4 linked regions of the Tamandua tetradactyla genome follow. The protein of the gene in region 4 interacts with the protein of the main gene of each other region in a biochemical or structural test. Links are inferred from orthologs where the notes say so. Each region holds a gene or a part of one and is shown on either strand. Other genes may lie near its edges.

The links.
Region 1: the proteins of EP300 (region 4) and KLF4 form a complex in vitro, tested with the Homo sapiens proteins (2 studies listed by BioGRID). The link is inferred for Tamandua tetradactyla from reciprocal best matches to the Homo sapiens genes EP300 and KLF4.
Region 2: of the proteins of EP300 (region 4) and histone H2A type 2-B, one has a biochemical effect on the other in vitro, tested with the Homo sapiens proteins (2 studies listed by BioGRID). The link is inferred for Tamandua tetradactyla from reciprocal best matches to the Homo sapiens genes EP300 and H2AC21.
Region 3: the proteins of EP300 (region 4) and NR4A1 form a complex in vitro, tested with the Homo sapiens proteins (2 studies listed by BioGRID, with this or other methods). The link is inferred for Tamandua tetradactyla from reciprocal best matches to the Homo sapiens genes EP300 and NR4A1.

What each region holds. Positions count from the first base shown.
Region 1 is NC_135328.1:26,489,056-26,496,538, forward strand, and holds the start of KLF4 (Krueppel-like factor 4), read right to left. Parts: upstream 3,012-7,483; 5' UTR 2,580-3,011; coding exon 2,575-2,579; intron 2,443-2,574; coding exon 2,322-2,442; intron 1,689-2,321; coding exon 434-1,688; intron 1-433. UniProt on the Homo sapiens protein: Transcription factor; can act both as activator and as repressor. Binds the 5'-CACCC-3' core sequence. Binds to the promoter region of its own gene and can activate its own transcription.
Region 2 is NC_135330.1:5,943,797-5,949,041, forward strand, and holds histone H2A type 2-B, read left to right. Parts: upstream 1-4,067; 5' UTR 4,068-4,098; coding exon 4,099-4,491; 3' UTR 4,492-4,652; downstream 4,653-5,245. Other genes in the region: H2AC20 (histone H2A type 2-C), read right to left, coding at 4,653-5,042. UniProt on the Homo sapiens protein: Core component of nucleosome. Nucleosomes wrap and compact DNA into chromatin, limiting DNA accessibility to the cellular machineries which require DNA as a template.
Region 3 is NC_135333.1:113,415,418-113,423,047, forward strand, and holds the start of NR4A1 (nuclear receptor subfamily 4immunitygroup A member 1), read left to right. Parts: upstream 1-4,619; 5' UTR 4,620-5,537; intron 5,538-7,155; exon of another isoform or gene 7,156-7,507; 5' UTR 7,508-7,609; intron 7,610-7,630. UniProt on the Homo sapiens protein: Orphan nuclear receptor. Binds the NGFI-B response element (NBRE) 5'-AAAGGTCA-3'. Binds 9-cis-retinoic acid outside of its ligand-binding (NR LBD) domain.
Region 4 is NC_135333.1:34,212,038-34,219,417, forward strand, and holds the start of EP300 (histone acetyltransferase p300), read left to right. Parts: upstream 1-4,364; 5' UTR 4,365-4,863; coding exon 4,864-4,996; intron 4,997-7,380. UniProt on the Homo sapiens protein: Functions as a histone acetyltransferase and regulates transcription via chromatin remodeling. Acetylates all four core histones in nucleosomes. Histone acetylation gives an epigenetic tag for transcriptional activation.

The sequences.
Region 1 (7,483 bases), on a different chromosome or scaffold from region 4:
AAGTAAAAACTTTTATCAAGACCAAAATCAGTAGTAATACTACAAAGGGGAGAGGGTGAGGGTCTGGGAAGGAAACAGCCAGCCAGGATAGTCTGGAAAATTTCTAAAAGCCAACGTGCCTGTGCACTGCAAAGTATAATTTCTTGATTATAAGGGCCAACACTTTGCTCAAGCCAAGAGACTCACGTCCGGCTGGAATCTCCCTGCCTTTTAAAGGCCCAACAGAACTGCACATTCAAGCCCTGATACCATCCAACAAGCAAAAAGGCTTCTGGGCAAACAAGTGGGCGCCAGCTTGCTCTCCCTTCCCTGTGGTCTCAGGGGATGGAGGAGATAAGACTGCCCGTATCCCAAGGGAGACCAGGGGATTTGTCCACTTGGCCTACGGGGCTTGGCAGCGACCCTCTCCCATCCTGAGCATCTGCCCTCCTACCTGTATGGGTACGCAGGTGTGCCTTGAGATGAGAGCTCTTTGTGTAGGTTTTCCCGCAGCCCGCATAATCACAAGTGTGAGTGGCGGTCCTTTTCCGGGGCCACGACCTTCTCCCCCTCTTTGGCTTGGGCTCCTCCGGCATACAGGAACCCGGTGGCATGAGCTCTAGGGGTGAAGAGGGTGGGGTCAGCAACACCCCAAGCGCCCAGAAGGGCCGGTGCACGCAGCGCTCCCCAGCCCGAACCATGAATCCCAGGCACTGACCTTGGTAATGGAGCGGTGGGACCTGTGGCTGCAACTGCTCGGGCAGGAAAGGTGGGTAGTTGGGCCCGGGGTGAGGATGGAAGCCCGGGGGGAGAGGCAGGGCGGGGTGACAGTCCCTGCTACTTAGCAGTTCCTCAGCACCCAGGGTCGGGGTAGTCCTGCTGGGGAGCTGCCGCCCCAAAGGGAATTCGTGCGGGGGCGGCCGGTGGCCGTTGCTCAGCGGGGGTCCAGTGCCCAAGTGGGCCTCCAGGGGCCGGCCGACGGTGCACGAGGAGACGGCCTCCTGCTTGATCTTGGGGCACATGCGCGGCGGGCCGCCGCTGTAGGGCGCCACCACCACCGGGTGGCTGCCGTCGGGGCTGCCTTTGCCGACGCTGATGACCGGGCTGCCGTACTCGCTGCCAGGGGGGTTCAGGGACGCCTTCAACACGAACTTGCCGAGTAGGCCGCCCCCTGCCGGCTGCTGTTGTGGCGGAATGTACACTGGATCCAATTCGGGCCGCAGGAGCTCCGCCACGAAGCCACCCGAGGGGCTCACGTCGTTGATGTCCGCCAGGTTGAAGGGTGCTGTGGGAGCGGGCGCCGACTCTCGGCCATAGAGAAGACCGCCCCCCGAGCCGCCCGGCGCCACGCCAGGATCCCCCCCGGCCCGTAGAGGGTAGCTGAAGCTGCAGGTGGAAGGTGCGCTGGCCGGGCCGCTGCTCGACGGGGAGGACGAGGATGAGGCTGAGGCTGACGCCGACGAGGACACGGTGGCGGCCACCGACTCCTGATGGGACAGCGAGTTGGAGAGGATAAAGTCCAGGTCCAGAAGATCGTTGAACTCCTCCGTCTCTCTCCGGGATAGGAGCGCCGGGTTGCTGCCGCCACAAGCCGCGCCGGTTCCGCCGCTTTCCAGTTCGGCGGCCACTGTCGCAGCCGCCAGGTCGTAGGGGCGGCCGGGTAGCACCGGGGGAAGTCGCTTCATGTGCGAGAGCTCCTCGCGCCAGCGCTGCGGAGATACGGAGGGAGAGAGCCCAGTCAGTGGCGATCCCTAGGCGCCACTCGACAAACTGGCCCGCCGCGCCTACACGGTCCAGACACCAGGGCAGCGCTCAGGGATTTCGGGCGCCAAAACTCCAATCTCCCACACCCGGATCCGAGAAGAGGTGGGTGCATCGGTGTCGGGGGTATTTGCTTGTGTCCTTGAGAGTGATTGTGGGGGGGCGGGGCGGGCTAACTAAGTTCCGGTCCTCTCCTGTGCGCGAAGCCGGGGACGCTCCCGCCACCCCCGGAATTGGACACCAGGCTCTCCCAGTGCGCCGCCTCGCCGCTGGGACGCCTACGCGCCAAGCTCACTCGGGACTAGCCGGTGTCTGGAGACTCAGCGCCCTCCCGCCTCGCCCCGCGCGCGCGAAGGGGAACGTGTGCCGACCCGGTGTGCGTCGCCGGCGGCCGCCCAGCGCCCGGACCACCCGCAGTCAAAACTGAGCCAAGAGCGCATAGGCCGTCCCGGACGGCTGCGGAGCCCGCGCAGCGGCCACCCCTAGCCCTCTCCTTGGTGACCCCAGGGCTCTGCCTGCCTCCCCACCATTCTCACACACAAGCTCCCACGACGCTCCCGGAGGTCCCGGGAGACACTCACGTTATTCGGGGCACCTGCCGGACGCAGTGTCTTCTCCCTTCCCGCCGGGCCGGACGCGAACGTGGAGAAGGACGGGAGCAGCGCGTCGCTGACAGCCATGTCAGACTCGCCAGGTGGCTGCCTGCGGGCCGGGAGGGGTGCGCCCGGAGGGCAAGAGCAGGGGGTTTGTCTCGGCCGCCGTCGCGGCGCGTCCCCTAGGCTATTAGCCCTCGCCCCACCCCACCCCCAGCGCCCTGAGCCTCCCCGCACCTACCTCATTAATGTAGGAGCCCAGAAGATCCTCGAGAGCTCGAAGCAGCGGGGCACCCGAACCCCAAAGTCAACGAAAGGGAAAAAAAAAATTTAGGAAGCCGAAACCCCAAATCCCCAGTTGCCCGCAATCCTTCTTCTTTGGATTAAATAAATTTGAGATGTCTTTTTTTAAGACTTCCTTTGAATACAAAAGTTCTTAGAAAAGTTGTAAACTCTTATAAAAAATAGACAATCGGTAAGGCGAGTAAAGTAGGTCCCGTGGCCCGGCTGCGCTCTCCTCGACTCAGTGACGTCCTCCGCCGCTGTCGCTGCGGCTGTCACCGTGGGCGCAGGGGCTGTGGCCGGGGCGGCGGCGGCGGGCGGGCGGTGCCACCAGGTGAGATTGGACGCGGTGGCGCGTAGCTGCGGGCTGGGCGGCGAAGTCCGGGTAGCTGTGCGGGGCGCGCGCGGCCATGGGCGCGGGCCTTGGGCGGGTGAGTGGGTGGGGGGCCGGAGGGGGGGCGGGGAGGGGCACTCGGCGGCTCCCGGTGCCGCCGCCCGCCTCCTCCTCTGCTCCCCGCGCGCCCGCAGCCGAGCTCGCTCTCTTGGGCCGGGGAAGTGCCGGCGGCCGCAGCGCGCTCCTTACTTATAACTTCTCCGCTCCCGCCCTCCCCCCCGCCTCCTGCCGGCTGCGCGCCCCGGCCCGCCGCCAGGCCCCGCCCCTCCCTTTCTTCTCCCCTCCCTCCCGCGGCCCCTCCGGCGTTGTCATGGCAGCTAAATAAACAAACTCGGGCGCACGTGGGGGCGGGGGGAGGGAGGGGCGCGGGCGGGGCCGGGCCGGGCCGGGCAGTGACGCCAGCCCGGCAGCTGGCGGGCAGGAGCCGCGCTGACGCCGGCGGTGGCGGCGGCGGCGGCGGCCCGGGCGCGGGACGCTGGTTACAGTCCCACATGTCCCGGGGCCGCGCGATCAGGGCCGTCGTCGCCCCCGCGGCTGACTCCCTGGGTTCAAAGCCCCTGGCAGGAAAGGCTGGGTCGTCGGGGTTCGGTAGCGAGCCCGGTACCCTTCGTCCACTGCACCGTCTACGCTCTGGAGAAGGACGCGATTATCCGCGTGACTCATCCGGCCCCTCCTCCCGGCCGCCAGCCGGGGCCCGGTTCTCCCAGCGCAGCGCCGGAATGGGCACTGGGTCTGCCTCGCACGGGTCCTCACCGGGCCTTCAGCCGCGAGCCCTGAAAGGGAGGGGGAGGGTGCCCAGAGCTGCGTGGCTGAGACCGGGAACCCGAAACGGCCAGTGGGGCGTTCCGCGCCTGGAAAGGACCGAAAGACATCGCAACGGGAAACGGAGATGTCGTTTTGACATTTTGAGATTTGAAGGAGCGAGGAAGGAGTGGAAGGGGTCGAGATTTACTTGGTAGGGGCAAAGAGGAGCCTGTAGGCCGAGGAGGCAGCTTTCAGCCAAGGATCTCAAAGCACTCTACACGCTCAGCATTCTCCTTTCCGCTTTATGGATGAGAAAACTGAGTCATAAAGAGGTGAAATGGCGAGGTAAAGGTCAAATGGCCACGCTCTCCCTTCACCTGAGACTCTGGACAGGTCGAGCCCGCCCAAGTTTGGCTGGAAAGTGGTCGGTGGTAGGAAATGGCGCGACGTGGTGGGACCCGGGTTCCCGAGAAGGGCTCGCCGAGCTCGCGGCAACTTGTCCCTGCACACGGGGAGGAGAAAAGGAAAGGGCGACCGTTATTCCAGTCTTACTTACAACGTCGCCTTCCACCCCCTACACACACACACACATACACACACCACCCCTTTCTCAGTTTGTGATCAGTAATTTTCCAGCCGGGAAATGTTTTCGTCCTCGTCTTCTCTGCAAACAGTACTTTTTTTTTTTTTTTTTTTTTACGTGAGTGTGGTGTTGGGTATCGCTTGCTAAACGTAGGCTAGCGAGGTGTTTGGTTTACATTCAGGCGCCCGGAGCGGGGCTCCGCCCTCTCCACCGAGCCCCCTCGCGCGTAAAAGCGGCCGCTCCCCGCCCAGTGTCAGCCAGGGAAAGAAAAGGAAGGAGGGGGCTTGTGGCAAGACTCGGAGCCCCAGCATCCGGCAGTGGGCGCGCGCCCCTGCGCTCCTTGAGCCCTTGCTGCCTCGAACTTTTTGTCGTTGTCACCTGTTTTGAGTCCTGCGCTTCTGGTACCTTTGCGGATTCCTCCGAATACTTCCTGCCGCTGCGTTTTCGCTCCTCGTCGCCTACAGACGCATTCTTGGAATGCATCTCGCCCCCAAAGAAGTGACTCGGCCAGGGTCCCCTCTAGGTCCCGGAAGTTGGGGGCCCACGAAGATGACTTTGGCCCAAGGCTGAGAAGACCCGCAGCTGGGGGGAGGGGGACATGCTTTGGCGGGGATCCCGGGGCCCCAAGGCCTCAATTCCACCCGAGAGGGTCAAAGCTATTACTTTAACTCTTCGGAAATTTCAGCAGTTTAAAAAAGAGGGTACAAAAAAAAAAAGACACCTGTTGCCCCCTTCTGCCGTCACCCTGAAGGGTGACGGCAAGAAAACTTGGGATGCTAGGACTGGAGGGTTGTGTGGCATAGTTTTCCACTTTTCCATCAAGGCCAAGTTCCCTAAACCTGATGGAATTGAACGCACCCTTGACTGGCAGTCAGGACGCTCCATCCCGAGGTAAACTGGGATTTCCACCTTAGGTAGCCAGCACACCGAGATTTTTTTCTGTTTTGCCCTTATTTATCTAAGGCAGTATCCCTTCCCCCTCAAAAAACCAGTACCAAGCACCACATGAAAATATTACACAGATGGATTGCAAAGCCACTCTTCTTATTGTATAATCAAGGCAAGATTCTGAAACTCAAAAAAGATGAACTTGTAGTTTCCCAACAGCTTTCTGGAGGATAAAAGCCAGTGCCTCTTCATGCAGACAACTATCTGCTTATTCCTCTGATTGCATCATAAAGGGAAATCTCTGTATTTGCCCCAGATTTCTGAAAGAGCTAGGGAACTTGAAGCTCACAAATCATCTCCTTTCAAGGCAGGTGCCTAGGGTGACATGAGAGCTATGACCCTCCTCTGGGGCCTTCAGAACAGGTAGGTCCAGAAGAGTTAAATCCCTGCCCTATATAATTTATAAGCATGAGGCTGAGTAAACCTTTGATGACTAAATTGCACTCTAAAATAATAATAGAAGACACCCTTTAAAGAAGAATTAAATACTTACTGGTGACTTTATTTTAGCAAACTGATATTACAAGTTTTGTGGTATGGAAGTTAATTATTAATGTCCTTGGAGTTATAAAATAGATTTTTCTTTTTTCAGCACAAACTGCATGAGTTGGCAGAAGATGTGATGTAAACCATCAGTGCTGAGGAGTTCAAGTGGAGCCATGGAGGGGAGTGATGATTGAAGAAGCTGAAGAAATATTTCAAGTGGACATCTCAACGAGAAGAACTAGGAATCCACTCCCCGCCCCCCCACCTCCTCCACCCCCACCCCCACCCCCCAGGACCTGCCTGCGCCCTGGCCTGGGATGTGTGTGCCTAACTGTGCCAAAACTGCTTTTCAAGAAGGTGAAAGCAGGACATGATTTTAAGTAGCCGAATTACTTTGAAATGAAACTCCTACTAATAACTCTGAGAGAGGCTTGTGACTTTCTTAGGTGACAAAGCTTTTCTCAGCTTCCACTCTAATCTCCTTGTAAACTACGGTCTCTATTTTTTTTTTTAATTGTGGTAACATATAACATAAAATTTCCTATTTTAACCATTGTCAAGCACACAGTTCAATGGTAGTAATTATGTTCACAATAATGTGTTGCCATCACCACTATCCAATCCCAAAGCTTTCTCATCACTCCAAACAGACTCTGGATCCATTAAGCAATCACTCCCCATTCCCCTCTACCCCCTGCACCAGTCCCCAGTCATCTCTAATCTACTTTCTGTCTCTCTAAAGTAGTTTATTCTAGATATTTCATATCAGTGGTAACATACAACTCTAGTTTCGTTCTATCCTCAGTCTTGTGGTTGAGTGAGACAGCCTGGGTTTTTACTTTGGCTGTGCTTCTTTCTAGCTGTGCACCTAGCTGACCTCACTTTGCCTGTTTGGTCGTCTGTAAAATGGGGATAGTAATAGTACCTATACGTCTTAGAGTGATGAGGGTTAAATGGGATCATCCACGTAAAGCGTTAAATGCAGGACTTGATGCTGAAAACATGAGAGCTGTTAATATCAGCAGTGGTCTCCAGGGCCCTGTATCACAAGGACGGGGCTGTTGCTGTGTTCACTACTATATCCCCAGGTCCTAGAAGAGTACCTGCCTTGCAATCTGAAAACGCTCGAAAGTGTTTGTTGAATGAATAAATGACATACTTTTTCTTTTTAAAGTCTATTAGCACAAACCTGGTCTTTCCTTTCACCTCCCAATTGAAGACTCAAATAATTCTCTTTTCAAGGCGTCTTCTCTTCCAATCCCTGACCTTGCCCAGTTCTCGACAGGTCCCAAACTGAACACCTTCCCTATCCTCCCTCCACCCAGACTTATTGCAATTTTTCCTACGTTATTTCATCACCCTTTCCCACCTTCCCATGCTAAAAGCCTTGGTTTTCCTCCTCTCCTCTCACTTTCTGACCAGGGGCATCCTGGCACCCACAGAGTTTGGCCGTTTTGGTATTTAAATATCTTTTCTATTACCCAGGTGTGATGCTTTGATTCAAGCCCTCCTCATTCATAGTTTTTAACTGTTGCTGCAGCCTCCAAACTGTCCTCCACATCTCCCTCCTCCATGTCTCATCCCTGAAATCCCTGCTCTGGTCCATTTTGCTCACCAACCACCACTCAACTTCCTGCCAATCTTTCAGTGGCTCCCCTTTGCCCAGGGGAGCAAGATCTAACACCTCAGCCTGATGTACCAAACTCTCTTTCT
Region 2 (5,245 bases), on a different chromosome or scaffold from region 4:
GATGCCCCAACTTTGCTGGTGCCAGGTACTCTCCTAAATGTTTTACATTTGTGAGTCCTTTTAATTCTTACAACAATCCTACGAGGTAGCTAGCATTATTACTCTCACTTTACCAATGAAGAAGTAGAGCCCCTTAGAGGGTAGGTAACTTGCCCATGATTATGTAGCTGGTAAAGAAACCCAAAGAGTCAGGCTTCAGAGTTGGACTCTCAGCCGTAAAGCCAGTCTGCACTCTAATCCAGCACTGGGCCTGCTCAAATTCCAAGCACTGAACCGGGCTCTTTTCATTTATCCTCATTCTAACAATAACTTTATTGTGTTAGGATATACTATTTTATTTAATTGGTGAGTTTCTATGTTCCATCATTGACTACTACAGTCTCCTGTTTATAGTAAGCACTTGAAGAGTGATTTTTTAAAAATTTATTAATTAAAAAAATAAGAAACAAAATAAAACAACATACATAATCAGTAATTCACAATATCATCACTTAGTTGCATATTCATCATTTCTTAGAACATTTGCATTAATTCAGAAAAAGAAATAAAAAGACAATAGAAAAAGAAATAAAAGGAACACAGGAAAGAAAAAAAAAAGATTATACCTACCATACCCCTTACCCCTTGCTTTCATTGATCACTAGCATTTCAAACTAAATTTATTTTAGCATTTGTTCCCCCTATTATTTACTTTTATTCCATATGTTCTACTCCTTTGTTGACAAGGTAGATAAAAGGAGCATCAGACACAAGGTTTTCACAATCACACAGTCACATTGTGACAGCTGTATCATTATTCAATCATCTTCAAGAAACATGGCTACTGGAACACAGCTCTACATTTTCAGGCAGTTCCCTCCAGCCTCTCCATTACATCTTGAACAGCAAGATGATATCTACTTGATGCATAAGAATAACCTCCAGGATAACCTCTCAACTCTGTTTGGAATCTCTCAGCCATTGACACTTTGTCTCATTTCCCTCTTCCCCCTTTCGGTTGAGAAGGTTTTCTCAATCCCTTGATGCTAAGTCTCAGCTCATTCTAGGGTTTTTCTCAATCCCTTGATGCTGAGTCTCAGCTCATTCCAGGATCTCTGTCCCACGTTGCCAGGAAGGTCCACACCCCTGGGAGTCATGTCCCACGTAGGCAGGGGGAGGCTGGTGAGACTGCTCGTTTTGTTGTCTGGAGAGAGGGGCCACATTTGAGCAACAAAAGAGGCTCTCTTGGGGGTGACTCTTAGGCCTAAATTTTAAGTAAACTTGACCTATCCTTTGCGGGGTTAAGTTTCATATGAACCAACCCCAAGACTGGGGGCTCTGCCTATAGCTTTGGTTGTCCACACTGCTTGTGAGAATATCAAGAATTCAACTTGGGGAAGTTGAATTTCTCCCAGTTCTCACCACTCCCTGAAGGGGGCTTTGCAGATACTTTTCCACTCACTGATCGAATCACTCTGGGATTCATCGGGGCATCACTCTGGACAAACCAGCAAAATCTCATGTCCTACCTGAGATTCCAAGTACTTGCAGCGTTCAATCAAACTATCTACATAAGTTATATTAGGAAATGCTCTAATCAAAATATAAATTTTGTAACAAACATTCTTTGCTTTAGTCTCACACAGAAGGTGACATTTAAAAATAATAATTACCATCTATTTTCAGCACCCTGCAATAATGACATTCCTTTGTTCTTCCTCATGCAAAAACATTTTTAAAATTTGTACATTGTACATTTCACTATTATTATACACTCTAGGCATTCCTAGATTATACCATCTCAATTGAAGAGTGATTTTTTTTTCCCCTGCAGGGGTCATCCCCTTTATTTATTTATTCATTTATTTATATATTTTTTACATGGGCAGGCACCAGGAATTGAACCTGGGCCCTCTGGCATGGCAGGCAAGCATTCTTGCCTGCTGAGCCACCGTGGCCCTGAAGAGTGATTTTTGACTAAAGAAAGATATTTTTGAAAAGAAGACACTATTTCTCTGAAAGTATGGTTTCATTCATTCATGCCATAAACGTTTAATCATCCTAGTAAGAGCCAGGTAGAAGGGTCTGGGTTTGGTTCTCAGCCTTGCAGGTCTGAAAAGTTGATTATATCAGCATATCTAGAGGTGGGTGACTTATTGGGGATGGATATTTTTGAATAACCCAGAATGCAAGCTGATTATCTTCCAATGACAGATAAATCTTTTCATAGGTGGCTTGCCCATTCTGAATATCATATTTTCATCTTGAAATAAAATAACCAGAAAATTTTCAATTGAGTAGAGAATCTGAGCTAAGAGAGTTGGACAGTCTTCAGAAATATTTTATCTAGGCTTTGAGAAAAGGCTTTCCCAGCCAAGGACCTGCTTTAGCAGCCCAAACCTTTGCACCTACCAAACATGGACTCTTCATATTGGAGAGACTGACAAATTCTTACTGTAACTGTTCTTTCTTAAGATTCTAAGGACATACACCTTTAGACTAATACATTCATCTTTTGAAAGGATATAATACAACCTATTGGGTTAAAACGACTTTCAGTTCAAGTCTACTGTTGAGGAAGCACCCGCATATTTGTTTGGCCAAACCTACACCAGCATTTTTACGGTAATTGACCTCTACAGATAGCTAATACTAACTGATTTAACTCCCAGAGCTCAACAGATTTCCTCCATTTCCTGGAGGCACCTCACCTCTCTCCGTGCTGGTCTCAACCATCTGTACACCCATACACCCAGTGCTGACAGATGGCACGCACTCAGTAAGTGCCAGCTGAATAAGGGTGAGGATGAAAGAGAGAACGTCAGAAAAGGACTCAGGAACTAGAGCTTAGGTCTGTAATTTTCTCCATAGCATTCTGCCTCCTGCAAAGGGTGCAAATGGAGTGGCAGAGGTAGAACTCCTAGAGACAGGAAGCGGGGAAGGAAGAAACTGAGGAGCCTCCAGGGAACACTGCTACGGAAGGTGGAAGACCGTGGTAAAACGTCAGAGCCTGCAGACAACACCTGTCAGGGGCTGCTGCTGAAGTCCGGGTGAGAGACGGTGGGAAGGCGTGGGAGGAAAGAAAGCTCGAGATGTGAAGGAAGTAACTGAATCGATATGCTGTTGAGATGACGGAAGAGCAGCTAAGATTCTGACTTAGGCACCTGGAAGGCAGCAGGCCCAGTTCAGGGAAAGAGGGCGAAGCCAGGAGGGCGTGGTGGGTTCGGACAAATTGTCATCTGGGTGGGCCACGCTCGAGGTCCTTGTGGGGTCACACGGGAAGCAGGTCGGTATAGGGTCTTAGCTTCTGAAACAAATTTGGATGTTAGCTGAGAGCACAGAAGAGGGAAAGGTTTCTTAGGGAACGTGAAGAAAACGAGGAGGGGGCTCCGGCGCGAGCCCGGCTGGACAGCGGCGTTTGGCGACCGGCTGGGGACGAGAAGCAGGACAAGGGAAATCGAAGACCGAGGAGGAAAAACGGAAGGGCGACATTTTGAAAGCTGAGGGAGCAAGTTTCCAGACGGTGTCGATGCCTCCTGGAGGTCAAGAAGAAGACAGAAATATTCCAGCCGCCTGAGGCCGGCCCGGGCGGGGGAAGCCACGCGTCAGCGGCTGAACCCGAGGGAAAGGAGGCCGCCGGGCCGAGCCCGAGGGCGGGGCGGGAGGCGGCGCAGGGGCGGAGGGCTGCACGGCGCCGGGCCTTACAGCGCACGGTGGGGGGGCGCCCCTCTGCTCGCTGGCCGCTGCATCCCTTCTGGATCCTTCTTAAGACTTCCCTGCTTAAACCGGAGAAAAACTACGAATTGTCACTCACGACAAAAGGACAGCACCTTGTTTAAAAGCCTCCTTATTTAAAAATCCTAGCATGCAAATAAGGAGCCTTCATGTGGCTTCCAGCCATTGGTAGGCGCTGGCTAGGCCCGTCCCTTGCGCGCGGTGCGGGGCGCCCACGGCTGTCGCCCGCTCGCCATTGGCGGCGGACGCGGCTGCGCGCTCAGCCAATCAATCAGGGCCCCCGCCCCGCTCCGCTCCCGACCTGCGCTTATAAATCACAGCAAATGGGTTCCCTGCTCCATCCCTGCCCTTGAAATAGAAACAGCCACTGTGCTTTTAGCTGCAATGTCGGGCCGCGGGAAGCAGGGGGGCAAGGCCCGCGCCAAGGCCAAGTCGCGCTCGTCCCGCGCCGGCCTGCAGTTCCCGGTGGGCCGAGTGCACCGCCTGCTTCGCAAAGGCAACTACGCGGAGCGGGTGGGGGCGGGCGCGCCGGTGTACATGGCGGCGGTGCTCGAGTACCTGACGGCCGAGATCCTGGAGCTGGCGGGCAACGCGGCCCGCGACAACAAGAAGACGCGCATCATCCCGCGCCACCTGCAGCTCGCCGTGAGGAATGATGAGGAGCTCAACAAGCTGCTCGGCGGCGTCACTATCGCGCAGGGCGGCGTCCTGCCCAACATCCAGGCCGTCTTGTTGCCTAAGAAAACGGAGAGTCACAAGCCGGGCAAGAGTAAGTAACCACGAGATGTGACGCCGCCACCGCCCCCCACCCAAAGGCTCTTTTCAGAGCCAACTAAACAGCAAAAGAAGGGCTGATGACAGGTAGCGCTAGCTCTTTCCTCTGAAAAGTTGGGTGGCTCTAAAAAGAGCCTTTGGTGGTCTTTGGCGTTATCGACAGATTATTTGCTTTTAGCCTTGTGACTTTCGGTTTTCTTTGGTAAGAGAACAGCCTGGATGTTGGGCAGGACGCCGCCCTGCGCGATGGTAACTTTGCCCAACAGTTTGTTGAGCTCCTCGTCGTTGCGGATAGCCAGCTGCAGGTGGCGAGGAATGATGCGCGTCTTCTTGTTGTCGCGGGCCGCGTTGCCCGCCAGCTCCAGGATCTCGGCCGTCAGGTATTCGAGCACCGCCGCCATGTACACCGGCGCGCCCGCCCCCACCCGCTCCGCGTAGTTGCCTTTGCGAAGCAGGCGGTGCACTCGGCCCACCGGGAACTGCAGGCCGGCGCGGGACGAGCGCGACTTGGCCTTGGCGCGGGCCTTGCCTCCCTGCTTCCCGCGGCCCGACATGGCAGATCAAAACTAAACACACAAACACACCAAGAGACAGAAAATTGGTGGTAGCAACGCGGCAAAAAGAAAGCCTTTATAAGCCTTCCTAGGGGTGGGGTCAGGAGCGAGACTCTCATTGGTCCTAAGTTGGCTCCAGAAACAGCCAATAAGGTCCAGAGTAGGCGCTGTTACGTAGGCATTGATGATAAAACATGGCCCAA
Region 3 (7,630 bases), about 79 Mb from region 4:
CCTGACCAGCCATTCCTGAGCAGGCCCCCGATGGGAGGAAAGGCTTTGCACAGGATGAGACAGCTCTCCCATTTCCAAAAAGTGCTCCAGTCAGGTGGGAGAGAGAAACCTTCCAAGCACCTCCACCCTGAGAAAGGTTCTTATTGGAAGTGACTGTGCCTGGAGACTATGGTCAGTGGAGGTGGGCTTCCCAGCCCTTTTGTCAGGGTACTCTGTGCATTTCCTGCACTGAACACTCCTGTGCTTTGTGGGAAGTCAGATGCCAAGGGGACAGCAAGGAGGGAGTAGCTAACCCTGAGTACTTACCATGTAAAAAGCATCTATCTCTGCAGTTGTTCAATCCTCCCAGTAACCAGAAAAGGTGGATAATATTATCATCCCCATTTCATGGGTAAGGAGACTGAGTGAGGCTCAGAGAAGTTAAGGGACTTGCTCTACTTACAGACAGTAGGAGAAGCCAGATCAGTGACTTCACCTCCTAGGCCTTGCCCTTACTAGCGTTCCCACATCTGGGACTACTTCTGTTAAGGGGAAATTTCGCCTTCCCAGGAAGTCCCCTTTTTCTTTAGCTACCTTCTTGCCTGGGAGCTGGGTGCCCTGCTAGCTGGGTTCTTTGCTCTTGGGGTGACAGGCAGGCTAAGAGACATTGGTGGGTGTGCCCAGGGCTCAGAGGTTGAGGTTCTATCCTCTCAAGCCAGTCAATTTGCTGTGTGACTTTGGGCCGCCGCGGAGCTTCTCTGGGACTCATTTTTTCCACTTCTTCCTCAGGGGACGCCCCAGGTAAGTTTATTTGGGTAACTTTATTTATACCCCGGCTCGGCTCGGGGTTCAGCTGCCTCGGGAGATGTTAGCAAGGCCTCAGAACCCTCACTTGAAAAACAGCCTCCCCTACCCCGCCCCCCGGCCGCAGCGAGCCGGGTTATGTAACAGCGTGTGCAATGTGTGTGTGTTGGGGTGGGGGGTGCCGCGGGGCGGGGCGCTCGCGGCTATTCCGGGCGCCTCTATTTTTAGCCCCATTGATGAGGCTGCGTCGGCCGCCGCCGCCGGGATTCCGGAGACGTCAATGGGCGCGCGTCACGGTCCCCGCCCGCCCGCCCGCCGGGGGGAAGGCGCGCCGAGGCTGGGACTGCGGCGCGGGCGGCCGCCGGCTGCGGGGGCGGGGAGCGCGGCGGCGGCCGGAACTGCTGGGCGGGGGGCTTCCCGGGGGCGGGGGGCGCCGAGAGGCTGCGGCGCGGTTGTAGGAGCGCCAAGCGGCGGCAGCGGAACTGGTGGGGGCCCCAGCGTGGTGCGCGCGACCCCCGGCCTCCCGGGATGGGCGCCCCTGCAGTGCAGAGCAGCTCCCGGCAAGCTGGTGCGCGACCCCGGAAAGCGGGGGTGGAGAGGCGAGCGGAGCTCGCCCTGCAAGGTGAGGGGGACAGCTTGGAAAGGGATAAAGTGGTAGCAGAGGGAGCATCGGGAGGTCTGTGCGGATGCGCCGGGGTGGGCTTGGGGCCACGCTGGGAGTCTTGCTTGGAAGCCGGGAACCGGGGCTGCACTGGGGGGCTGGATTCCCAGCGGAACTTGCTGGCTCCGAGTCAGTTCTCAAGTGCGACGGCCAAGGCTTTCTCTCCCTAGCCCGCCAAGGGTGGGGTTTGGCTCACGAGGGGCGCTGGAGATGGCCAGGCGGGAGAAATTCCTTCCATTTCCCCGTCGGCCGTGGAGAACGGGTTCCAGGAGGTCGGGAGCTCGGCTGCCAGGAGGCCGAGACGGGAGGGACCGGAATTGTCCCGGACAGCTCCTTCGTGGGACTGAGTCAGGACACCCAGGCTGAAGAGGGTCTTATGGAGTCAGGAGCGAATTTGGGATTCGGACTCGGGTCCGGCATCTCCCAGGGCAGCGCTTTTTTCTGCAGCAACCTCCCTCCCGACCTATACTTGGGGGTTCGAGCGGCGCTTCTAGGCAAAGGTTGCAGTGTGTTGAGGCAAAGGCACCGGTCCTTGACTTCAAATCCCCGTTACGCCTCCGTTTTTAATAGGTGGCTTGGTGGGCAGAGAGAAATGTTGCAGAAGAGGCACGTCCCGTTTACAGTGGAGTGTTAATCTGGGTTTGGGGGCTGGTATTATGGGCATGTTGGGAAAATGCAGACTGGGCAGAGGTGGGTAGATTCAGATCAGTTATAAGCTAAGGATGCTGATGGATTAGGAGACTGAAATCAACCTGAACAGGGTGGCCACAGGCTTGGTCCTAGACCCACTACAAGTGAATATTTAGATCAGTGACTTGGGGTAAGAGGTCTTAGGAAGCCAGCCAACTTTTGTATGACCCAGAGCTGAGAGGAATGACGAGTGTACAGTAGGATAAAATCAAGATTCTGAATTACCGCATGAAAATGGGCCAGAATTAACAAGATGAATGTGACTGATGCTAAATATTTGGGCCTGGGCAGGAGTTCAGAAAATCAGCTCAGGAGTGCAGGCCTGATGGGAGGCCTGGCTCAACTGTTCAGCACCGCAGGGCCCGAGTTCCTACCAGTTCCGTGGGTGGGCACTATCAAACTGAAGCCTCTACTGGGTACACTGGTGGTGGTGGTGGCCGGGCAGTACCTGGCCCTGGCATCCTCTGTCGGGCTCCCTGGGTTCTAATCCCAGCTTTGCCAGTTCCTAGCTATGTGACGTCAGGCAAGTTGCTTAACATTTCTGTGCCTTAGTTTCCTCATCGATAAAATGTGTATAATGATAATCCATTCCTCAACATTGTGAGACTGAAATGAAAAAAATGCATGTAAAGTGCTTAGCATTGTTTCTAGCACATGGTATTTGACAATATCAGCTGCTGTTATAATTGTTCATAATAATAGTATTGTCATTTCTAGGTGGGGACATTGACCAATGCAGAGATCGTGTCCAGAAGTCCACCAGGGCTGCAGAAGGTCTACCCTGTTGTGAGTGGGAGTTGGAGTTTAGATAAGAAAAGACTCAAATAAGTTCTTGATAGGAAGAAAATGAAGGAGGTTCTGGCTGGGCCCATGCAGGGGGCAAAACTGGGATTTGGGGCTGGGGGCTTTGGAATTGGGGCTGTGACCCAGCAGAGGGAAGAACCCTCCGATCTGCCCCAAAGTGGAAAGGACAGCTTTGTGAGCTGTGCACAGGAGGTTTCTTAGTGGGAATGACTTCCCCACCACTTTGCAGATGGCTGGCCAACTGTCCTCCCAGCCTGGCTCCAGTACAGGTGTTTGTGGCTCCTGCCCCCATTTACACTGCTATTGACTGAGCACCTATCCATCCTGAGCTCTCCTTTAGAGACCAAAGACTCCGTGGTGATTGAGACAGACAGGTTCTTATTTACCTTCTAGTTCAGGAGACAGAGGATAAATAAGTGAACAAATAAACATTAGTCCTATGGGAAAAATAAAAATGATTAATAGGGTAGGAGGTAAGGCTTCTTAATATAGTGAAATGGGAATAGGAACCTGATGGAGCCAGTCATGCAGACATTGGAACAGTGGTTTTCTTGGCAGAGGGAAGAGCTTGTGCAAAGGTCCTGAGGTAGGAAAAAAAGCCCATGTGACTAGAGCACAGTGAGTGGAGAGGAGATAAGGTGATGAGGGGACTCTCATCCCATTTTGGGGGCATCGCTTTCTCCTCCTCCAGTTTTCAGTCTACCCTCTGTACAGTATTGATTATAACTGATCTTGGTTTATTCTATGCCTGTCCCCCCTAGGGTAGAGGTAATTTGATCTTCTTAGATTTCCTACTGTTCATGGCACCCTGCCTGGTTCACAGTAGGTTCTCAATAAATGCTTGTGGAATGACTGTTGGGAAGGAAATTTTGATCTGTGGCAGGAGATGGTATCAGGTGGTCGTGCTAAGAGGTTTTGAATCACTTTCTAGGCACTGTTCTCAGATACACATGATGGAGACCTGAGCTCTCAGGTTGGGTCTGGCTGTCCCCGACCTGCTCCCTTCTCCTCCAGCTGCAGGCAGGCAGGGAGGAAAGGGAAGGTTTGGGGAACCCCTAGGCCTGATTGGGATGGGGAAGAATGATATTGTCATTCTGGGAAGGAAGGGCAGCCCATGGGCTGGGGCAGGTCTGAAATGTGATTTCGATTTCAGTTTGGATTGGAAGCCCTCTAGATGTTCTAGACTGCCCTCTGCTCCCTCTTCTCTGGTGGCCTTTACTCCCTGCTCCCCACTGCATCCACAGGGACATGGAGGGTGAGGGGAAAAGTATGGGCACTGCGGGCCAGAGGAGTCCCCCTTAGCCTGTGGACCCTGGAGCAGAGGTAGGGAGGGGGTGGAAGCCCATTGCTTGCCCTCTGCCCTCTGGGTCCCTCAGCCTTGCTCCCTCTTCTTCCCATCGTGGAAACACCTACTTCCCTTGTCACAAACTTCATCTTGGCTTGAAAGGCAACTTGATAACAGTGAGGGCCAATCCTGGGCCTACCCTGCTCTCACTCTGGGCCCCATCTGGAAGAGGAGAGGGCTAAATGAGGTTGGGAAGAGGGGAAGGGAGGTAGGGCGCCTGTGGGGTTGGCTGGTGAGCAGAAGGTGGGGGTGGGACACACAGTTGGCATCAAGCGTGATGGAGAGGCCAGGTGTCCAGGAGTGGCTGGCAGTGGGAGCCTGGGTCTGGTGGTGTAGCTTTTGTGTGTCCTTATTTAATTTATACTAATCACGAAGCTAATATTTATATAGCACATATGTGTACTCAGTACTGTTCTCACTCTTTTACACATATTAACTCACTTTAGGACTGACGACAGTTCTCTGATTGTCATTTTGACACACGAGGAACCTAGACACAGCGTGGTTATATAACTTGTCCAAGGTTACAGGAGATGGAGCTGGGATTTCAACCCAGGCAGTCAGGGATCCAGCATCTGTGCTCTTAACCACTCTGCTCTCAGTTAGGCCTTCCCATTGGGGACTGGAGTCCATCACAGAGGTTAGAAGGCTGGGCTGCCAGGAGACAGGGGCATGGAGCTGTGCCCTTTGGAGGCCCTGAGGCTTTGGGGGCCAAGCTAAAGCCCCTGAAGGAGAGAGGGATGTGTCCTGTTCTGTCGTCACACTGTCACCATTTTCTCTGCCTACAGAAGGCCCTTTTGTGCATGCCACGGGGCTGGGAGCTAGATTGAGGCACCCTCACTCAGGAGTGGGGTAAGAGGCTGAGGGGCTGCGCACTGGCAAGGATCTATGGCTCTGAGGTACCCCAGGTGCCATCAGCAGCAGCTGGTCACACCTCATATCCCGGGAGCGCTTTTCCCAGAGTGTGGGCCCCCAGCCCCTGACAACTAGCCCAGGCGGGGACCTCGGGCTGGCTTGTCTGCCCCTGTGGCTGAGTCCTGCTGCTGTACCCGCTCCTGTGCTTCCTGGCTGGGCTGTCTCCAGGGAATGCGCCTGCTGGATGGGTGGTTTTTCCTTTCTGACATTGACTCTTCCGTAGGCCTCCACCATGCACAGGGGCTAGCCCCGGCTCCTCCCTGGTGTCCTGAATCTGCCTGCCAGGCCCCGAAGGGATGGTTTGAGTGTTGGCCAAGGCCTGTTGGTCCACTGAGGGTGGTAAGTGCTCTACTGTTGTCATTTGTACACCCTTGGGCCCCCTGTGCAGTTGGGTTTGGGGGGCAGGGGTGGGTGTGGAGCTGCCTGAGGTGGATGTGGTTTGGGGGGTGGAGGGGGAAGCCCTGCAGAGGTGGCAGGCACGGTGCTAAACAGCATCAGGAGATCTGATTTCTTCTGTGGTGGGAGTGCATGGGGGCGAGAAAAGGGGAAGCCTGATTTTCTCAGCAGGATAGGCTGGGAGGACTCTGGGGCCAGGTGCCACAGACGGGTGGTAGGGAGGAGCCTGACAGGTGCCCCCAGCATAGCACCTGCCTGGTTCCAAGAAGCTGATGGGATGGGGTTGAGGAACTTGGGTCTGGGCTGGGAGTGTAGTAGGGCAAAGCTGGCAGAGGTGGGGGTGGGGTGGGGGCATCTGGCCTGTTTCCATGTTGTAGACCTCATTCCAGAGGGAGTGCATGAAGGGAAGGCTGAGATTCCCCTCCCCAGAAAGATTGCCGACTGTCCCCCCTTCCCATCATGGCAGGACTATAGGGCCTGCAGAGTCCGTGGTATGAGGAAGTGGCCTCATGGATGGGGGGAATCTTGGTGGGATCATAGCTGCTAACAAAGGGCAGGCACAAACCCTCCACTATTCATCCGACATCCCTGAGAGGGAAAATCCCAGACTTGTGGCTATGGCTAGAGGAATCCTTGGCTCTCTTGCTCACCCCCTCCTCTTACAGATGAAGAAACTGAATTACAGAGGGGAGAAGGGACTTTTCAAGGTCCCACAGGGCATATGTATAGAGCGCAGCCTAGAATCCAGGTGTCCTGGGTCTCAGGGCCAGCCTGAAAGCCCGGTGTAATGGTGGAGGACACATCTTTATTGCTGAGGGTGCTTCCAGAGAAGGAGCAAGCTAGTCTGTCGGTGAGGGTGAGGGTGAGGGTGAGACAGTCCACCTGCTGTTTCCTTGGGGGATCTGAGATGCTGAGATGGGGCTAAAGGAACTGAGTCTTGACGGCCACCTGAGGGAGCTGGGAATTCAACCTGGCACAGGGACAGGGACTCTGGACAGGGTCCTTGTGGTCCCTTTCCTCCTTCCCCTGTACTGAAGAGCATCACTGAGCAACAGAGCCCTCAGGACTGAGAGCCCTCCAGATGAAGCAGGAGCTGGCTCAATATCTCCTCCCCCAACCCCTCCAAACACTGTTGCTTCGTGTGAACTTGGTGTTCAATGTGCAGAGGGAGGAAGACAGGGTGTCCGGTCTGAGCCTAGGTGGAAGCGGGGAGGCAGGGTCTCCTGTTCCAGGGGCTGGGCTGGGTGTGCACCTGGCCTCTGGCTGGCAGCAGGTTCTGCACCAGCCACCTCAGGCCAGGGCGGAGAGAGGAATTACGGTCAGTGGGAGAGGCAGGTGTCTCTGGTCAGCCAGAGATGTGGCCTTGGGGAGCACGTGAGGGAGGATGACAGCAGTGGCCAGGCACTTTCCCTCCGCTGGCCCCCACCTCTGCCCCCAGGCCTGACCTGGATTCCCAAGCTCCTGGCTTTCCCTCCGGCTACACAGAAGCACTGGGTGGGCAGAACTTCTTGTGTTTACCCTGTTGTCTGGGTGATGGTGGTGATTGGATGGAACTCCCGTGCTGGATACTCTGCCAAGGCCACCCCAAGGGGCTGCTCGCAGGGGCCCTGGGAGTGTTTGAGCCGCTGGTCTTGTGACGTGGGCACCTGTCTGCCAGGCCTGGGCATGGGCCCAGGGTCACGCTCACACCGGGGCTCCCGTCAGCTGACTATTTTGAGTTCTTGCTGACCTGGGCCAAAGTTAGGCCCTAGCCAAGAGGGCCCCGCGTTGGCTCCCCCCCATCCCCAGAGGCCGGCTCTGGTTTCTGCTATATAAACAGAAGAGGACATACTGGCTTGGAGAGAGCTCCACGTCCAGACACTTCTCAGCTGGTACAGGGCAGCTGGGGAGGGCAGTCACGTCTCTCTCCACAGGGCTCCCCGAGGCCACCAGGAAGGGCCCCCAACCGAAACCAGGATTCTCCTTTCCTGTGGTTGCCCAGGATCTCTGAAGGTCAAATTGTGAGGAGGAAGCTGGTGAGTCTTGGAATGGGGAAA
Region 4 (7,380 bases):
ATTGACCGCTAGTATTTCCATCTACCCAATTTATTTTAGCCCCCATTATTTATTTTTTATCCATATTTTTTTTACTCATCTGTCCATACCCTGGATAAAAAGGAGCATCAGCCACAAGGTTTCTACAAGCTCACAGTCACATTGTAAAAGTTCTGTTTTTAAACAATAGTCTTCCAGAATCAAGGCTACTCCAAAGTTCTTTTAACCATTTCCTACAGGTGAACTCTTGGTTTGTTTTCTTTTTGTGTGTGTGTCTGTGTGCCTTGAGGAGGAAAGCTATCCCAGTGCTGTAGGGAACATTCTCATGTACCTCTCTGTGCACTGTTCGGATGTATCCTAGAGATTCTGGGGTTTTTAAAGGCTATCAATTTTGGTATGAACTTAGAAGTTGGTATCATGTTTTATTCATACCATGTATGAAAGCACCAATTTTATTTTGCCAATATTGGCTATTAAAATTTTTTCTTCAAGGACACATTTTAGTAAACGTAAGATATAAATAAAAATGTAACTATGGTTCTGCAAACACCAACAACATTTTGGTATAGATCAAAATAAATCAGTATTTCCTTGTGGTGTATGTGTAGCCACTTCAACAATCCTGTTTGCATTCACGTTTGCAGAAGTGACCTGAGACCACGAGGGCAGCTTCTTTCCACTGCAATTCTTGTGCCCCCTATCCAGGTCTCCTCTCTGGTAATCAGGGCACCGTGGAAGCTGGATGAGTCAACAGAAGGTTGAACGGTGAACAGAGAATTTCTTAAAGGGAGTTGGATGGACCCAGGAGAAATTTCAATATCCTGATTGGTGAGAGGCCAAGTATGACAGCCCAATAAGCATCTGCCAGGTTCCATGCACAAACATCTCACATGTATTCACCTCATTTTAATTCTCCTAGTAACTCTTTGGGTTAGGTACGATCCTTTCCATTTTAGATTGAATGACTAGTAACACCTAACGTATTGCGTGCTTACTTTGTGCCAGACCTTGTGATCAGCATTATTTCTAAATGACTGTGTTTACTCTTCACAACAATAAAGTAGGTCTAATCATGAAACTCATTTTACAGATGATGAGCCTGCCCAGGTCCCATTCGACTTCTGTGCCCCTGCTCTTACCTGCCAGCTGCTGCTGTCTCGTGTGTCCCCCAGCTACTGGATTCATTTGAACTTTTTGGGTTAGTTACAGGGAAGACAATTCCTTCCTGAAGCCATTCTTCTTCTTCTTTTTTTTTTCTTGGCTTTTTAAAAAGGGGAATTTAATAAGTTGCTAGTTTACAGTTCTAAGGCTATGAAAATGTCCCAATTAAACCAAGTCTATAAATATGTCCAAATTAAGGCAACAAGAGACTACCTTCACTCAAGAAAGGCCAACGAAGTTCACGGTTTCTCTCTCAACTGGAAAGGCATGTGGCAAACATGGTGATGTCTGTAAAATTTCTCTCCAGGCTTTTTGTTTCATGAAGCTCCCTCGGGGGCGTTTTCCTTCTTCATCTCCAAAGATCTCTGGCTGTGTAGGCTCTAAACTTCCCTGCTTCTTCCACTAACCCAAGGTTAATCCTGAAGCCATTCTTAATCCACTCATGGGACTCCACGATTGTTTGGATTTTAATTAGATTAGATTACAAATAATCCAAGCTGATGGTTTAATTCTGCTTTGTTGAAACCATCAAGTCTACCCTTGATTGCATTTGTGTGATCCTTATTTCCTCAACCACTTCAGCTTGGTCCTGGGGCAAGGGTCAGAGAAGCAAATCCCAGGAAGAGGCATCCTGCACCTGAAGACCCCGTTTACAACAGAACATTCCCTTCTGGGCAGGTCCATCGCCCCTGACCCCTTCTTTTTGCAGAATTTTCTCTCTGGATATTCCTCAGATCTCCTTCAATGGGTTTATGGTATCGAATCCCATGACTGGCCAGGAGGGCCGAGTGTGTTTGAATGCTGCTTATACATACATCAAGCTGGATCCTCTGCAAACTAGGCAAATTGCTTTCCTAAGGTTAGAAATTCTTCAAAAAAAAAAAAGGCACGGAAACCTTCCATAAGGAAATCACAGCCCAGGTTTCTTAAGTGTTCACATTTCTTTCCTGTCTCCTCTCCGCTATTAATGTGGGCATAAACCATGTAGAATAACCCAATCATTCTGGAAGGCCAATCTCGACCTTAGCCTTACACCTTGAATCCTTCCTGTAACAACTTTTAAGACAAGGAGGCTCCTGTCCTTTTCAATTGGCCTGCTTTCCCGCTGCAGTTTGGGTGATGTGTGCTTGAAGATCACACCACATAGTTCACCCTTGTTGGCAACAGGAGCTGCTTCCTTTGAGTTTTCTGTCCTAGGCTATTTATTCTCCCCATCATTCATTGAAAAAAAAGACAAAAACAAAACATAAAGTAAAGCTAACAACAAACACACCCCAACTGAGGAGCATGATGTGCGATGTGGAAATGCTTTTTAGGCGACTGGTACTGGTTTGGGGGTGTTTGGGAGGCCTCTTACCACCTGGCTACCTCCAGTATCAAGGGCAAATACAGGGGAATCCTGCAACCGGTAGGCAGGTGAAACAGTTCTCGCAGCTTTCCTTCGAATATAAGCATTCAGTCACACACACTTGCACTTTTCTTTACACCTATGAAGCCATTTTCCCCCATCGTTACATTTTTACTTTCTTTCGTCCTTACATTATCTTCAGCACATCGTGACGTTTTTGCTCCTTTTCTATAATTATATTTTCTTTAAGGCACTGCCTAAGTCGGATTTGGTCTTTTATTAAGCCAGCCTAGGAGGTGGGTTTTAATAAATTCCCTAAAATGCTTTCAGGTCCCACGCGCGTTTAGGAAAATAAGTCAAGCCTCCCTTAGCCAGAGTGCCACCTCGTAAGGGGCGTGTGGACACGTGGTGGGCAAGAAATGTATTTGGATCTAGTCCTAAAATAACCTTCCACTGCTGTGATTTTTGTTTTCTGACTATCGAAATAATACATCCTGTCAAAAAAATTGGGACTACCGAACAAATGGAAACAACTCGGTACTAGTGTGATTTAGGGAAGTGAACCACTCCGCTGCCTTAGAGAAGGGTCAGGACGCACTGGGTCTCTGGCCCCGAATGCCCGGCGGCAGATGTGGGTTCAGCAGGGTTTCGGAGGGCTGGCCGCTAAGGGCCGGGGATGCAGGGTCATCCCCACGAGCGCTCCCACTCGGGAACCTGCGCGGAGACTTGGCGCCTTCCCCGGCGCAGCTCGGAATTCCGTCAGCCTCGCTTCCCACCGGTTCCCTACGCACAGACCCAACCCAGGCAACTTCCCCCGTAAGTGTCCACCGACTGAAAACAGATCCCAAGCCCACACCCTCCCTCCCCCTTAAAATCCTCCCCTCCCTTAAAATCCTCCCCTTTAAAGGGAGCCACCGGGTGACGCCTGGGGAGTTTGCGGAAGCGCCCAGCGCGTTGGGGCCCTGGGCGGGTCCCGTGATTGGAACCCGCCCCGCCCTCGGCCCCTGTTCCCCCATTGTGTGAGCGGCTCGGGCCCATGCCCCGCCCCCTCGCCACCTCCCTCCCTGGGCCCAGCCCCTCCCCTTTTTTTCACCCCCCCCCTTGGCTCATTTCCGGCCGCCGCTGCTACCGCTAGCCTGTAAGGAGGATTCGGCAGAGGGAAGAAACAACAGCCGCCATCTTGTTTGTGTGTTAGGCTGGGGGGGAGAGAGGGCGAGAGGGAGCGGGCTAGAGTGGGCAAGCGGGACGCCGGGCTGAGTGCGAGTTGCGGGAGAAAGAGAGTGCGGAGGGGAGCCGGGCTGGAGAGAGGCGCCTGGGGCCGAGACAGAGGCAGGGGGCCTGGGGCGCACGGGCTGAGGCGACCCCCAGCTCTCTCCCGTCCGCACACACCCCCACCGAGCCCGGGAGCCTGGCCGGCGTCGACGCCTAGGGGGTACCATTACATAACCCCGCGCCCCGCGGCGCCTTTACCCGCCGTCGAGGGCGGCCCCGAGCGGAGCCCCGGGGGGCGGGAGCTCCCGGCCCCTGGCCGCCGGGGGTGGGAGCCGTAGCGGCGGCCGTATTTATTTATCTTCCGCGGGAGGGGAGGGCGAAGAGAAGAGCGCGGCGCGAGGAGAGGCCGCCTGCGCCGCCCGCCGGAGCGGGGCCTCGTCGGTGGGCTCGGCGTCGGCGCGGGCGGGCGGCGCTGCTCGGCCCGGCCCCCTCGGCCTCGGAGCCGGCGAGCTCGGTGCCCCGCGTTCTCGCCGCGCCTCTGCTGCCCCGGGCCGCGGGCGCTCGCCGCGCGATGTGAGGCGGCGGCGCCAGCCTGACTTTTCGGCTCGGGCGGGCTCCGTGCGGCCATTAGGGGCCGGTGCGGCGGCGGCGGCGCGGAGTGCGGCGGCAGGAGGAGGGCTCGGAGGGTGGGGGCGCAGGCCCGGGAGGGGGCACCGGGAGGAGGTGAGAGTCTCTCGTCGCCTCCTCCTCTCCCCCCTTTTCGCCCCCGCCTCCTTGTGGCGATGAGAAGGAGGAGGACAGCGCAGAGGAGGAAGAGGCTGATGGCGGCGGCGGCGGAGCTCCGAGAGACCTCGGCAGGGCAGGGGCTGGCCGTGGCGGGCCGAGGACTGCGCCTCTAGAGCCGCGAGTTCTCGGGAATTTACCGCGGGGACGCGCTCGGCGGATTTGTGTTCCTGTGCCCTCATCCGGGCCTGGGCTCTGGCTCGGCCCCTCGCTTTTGCCCCTACCTTTTCTATCGAGTCCGCATCCCTCTTCAGCTACCGCGACCCGGCGAAGAGAAAAAGGAACTTCTCCCACCCCCTTTCGGGTGCCGGCGGAGCCCCCGAAGCCCACCCCAGGGAGTGGGGAGGGGGCCCCGGGCCGAAGAAGAGATTTCCCGAGGAATGTCGTTTTCCTCGCCTGTATCTCCGAAAGAATTAAAAATGGCCGAGAATGTGGTGGAACCGGGGCCGCCTTCAGCCAAGCGGCCTAAACTCTCATCTCCGGCCCTCTCGGCTTCGGCCAGCGATGGCACAGGTTAGTCTCGGGGAGTCCCGGCCTCCCACATTCCCCTTAGTCTTTTCTGCTGTTTGCATCTTTATTATGCCAGCTTTTCTTTTTTTCTCTTTTTCTCTTCTTTCTGGTTGCCTATGTCTTAACTCAAATTCCTTTTAAAGGTGTTTGAATGAGCTGGTCGAAGACGTCCAGCAGCCCAACCATTTTCTTTGCCTCCTAGTACATTCGTTGCAACACTGACATATCGATGTGTGTCCTGGAATTAGAGCTCAGAAGTGTAGCTTTTATTGTTGCTCCCATGCAGTTTTATTTTGGAAATGCTAGTGCATTTGTGTGTAAGAGCTTTTTATGGATTTTAGTTTTATCTTTTTGTTGGTGGTGGTGAACGAGGAATTGCGAATCCTTTCTCCTCGATTGCACTCATTCCGTCTCCTCTACTTTCCACTCTTTCTTTTCAAGATTTCCTGTTGAGGGTTAGAGCATTAACATTTTTGTATTTTTCGTTTTGTTTGTGTGAATCCAGGATATCAGGTTTGACGTGAGGTTTGTCAAAATTATTTTCTTGCCGTTCTTTTATTATTTTTATTACTTGCTTTAAGAATCAATATGGAGCGCATTGCATTGTACATCTTCCATTTCTTTGCTGCGAGACCAAAATGTCTGAAACTCTGGGTTTTCAGGATGGGAGAGAGGCAGAAGCATTTTCTTTGCACTTTGTATTTACTTTCTCGTTGGGGGGGAAAGAAGAAATAAATAAGCGATTTTGTGGAGTTATGTACCTGGAAATTAAGGATAGAAGTTGAAAGAGTCCCAGTCTCTAGTAAACTGAACTGATGTGCAAAAGTTAAAAATTTTCGTTTGGTTTCTTGGTTGTGCTTTTGTTCTGTTTTGTTTTTCGTTTTTGTGCTTTAAATGTTTGGATTTTCAGTTAAAAAGCTCTACAAATTTCTTTACTTGACTCAGTTGTGGACTGGCCCTTTTGTCAGGAGAAATGTAGGGAGACTTCTTACATCTTTCCTTTCTTTCCCTTCTTACAGTTAGTTTAATGGTGCTATCCTGATGGCCACCGACCTCCTAAGTAACTGTTGTAGTTTGAGATGCAGGATAATGAAGAGGAAGAATGGCTGGCCATCTGACAGTCTTCAAGATGTTCCCCCTTACTACCGAGCATCTCTTTTACTCACTGAAAACAGGCTCAACGTCATCCCCCATCTGCCAGTGAGAGTGTATAATGGAGTTAAATGTACCCTTTGAGTTTGTAGAGAACTTCTAGAACATGTTTCTCTTAGGGGGCTTCATTTCAAAGGGTTAAAATGTGAGGATGTGGGAAATCTTTTGAATTTCTTTGCACTTGTAAGAAAGATGTATCGTCTTGCAGTTTAAGATAATCTGCAAAAATTAAGAATAATTATGCAGTTCCTCCGTGTAACAAGCCTAAGGCTTGTTAACATTGCCTGTGCCTGAACTTTGGTCTGTCTTCATTCCTTGAAGTTTCTGTGGTCTTCAGATATATTTTTAGTTGTCTTTTTTTGTTTACTAAAGTGTCATTCAGAAGAATTTTTAGTTACCTTTAGACATACTTTTGCCAGTAGGGTTTTGCGCTGTCTCTCCGAGTGACTTTGTTTTTTAGTTTTTTCTAATGTGGTGGTAGATTTTACTTTTGAGTTAGCTTGTGACTTGGAATATTGTAGAGGAAACTTTTTAATGTCCTTTACTTTGATCAGTCCTTGTTTGAACAACTGAGTCTTGGAGTAATGCAAGACCTGAAAGGTAGGATATGTTCTGTTGTTCCAGATACTTTTTTTCAGATGCACTAGTGCATCCTTTATATCTAAACTGTGTAGTTGGTGATGTTGAACTCATCTTGGTAATCTCTCTCCTGTCTAATATACAAAAACTGTTTTACTAGAAATAATTAACTCCCCACCCACCCATTGTGATAATTATACTTCAGGAATTATTTTGAGTACAATTTTTAATCCTATCCAGTCTGAGTTTTTTGTTCAGTGAGAGGTGGGTATTAAAATATTATTCCTCTGTGAACTTAATTCAAGTTGGGCACCATTACATTTTGATATATTTATTTTTACATCAAGCAATGTGTAATAAAAATTTATAGACAAGTTTTAATAAACCTTTTTCACCTTTTGAGTTAAATTTCAAACTTTTACATTTTGACTTTTAAGTTGTCACTTGGATTTTTCATAAACTGAAAGAAAGTTGTTCCCCAGAAACTTTTTTGTGATTAAGGCTTACACTTTTCCTAGTGTAAATGTATCTATCTAGTGTGTTGAGTTAGCCAATTTTATAGGAAAGAAAACTGGAATCCATTTGGGCTGATATGCTAGAGGGTTATAAAACAAATTAGTGTTCTCGGTTTCTAAATTTCCAGGCTCTTCGTGTGG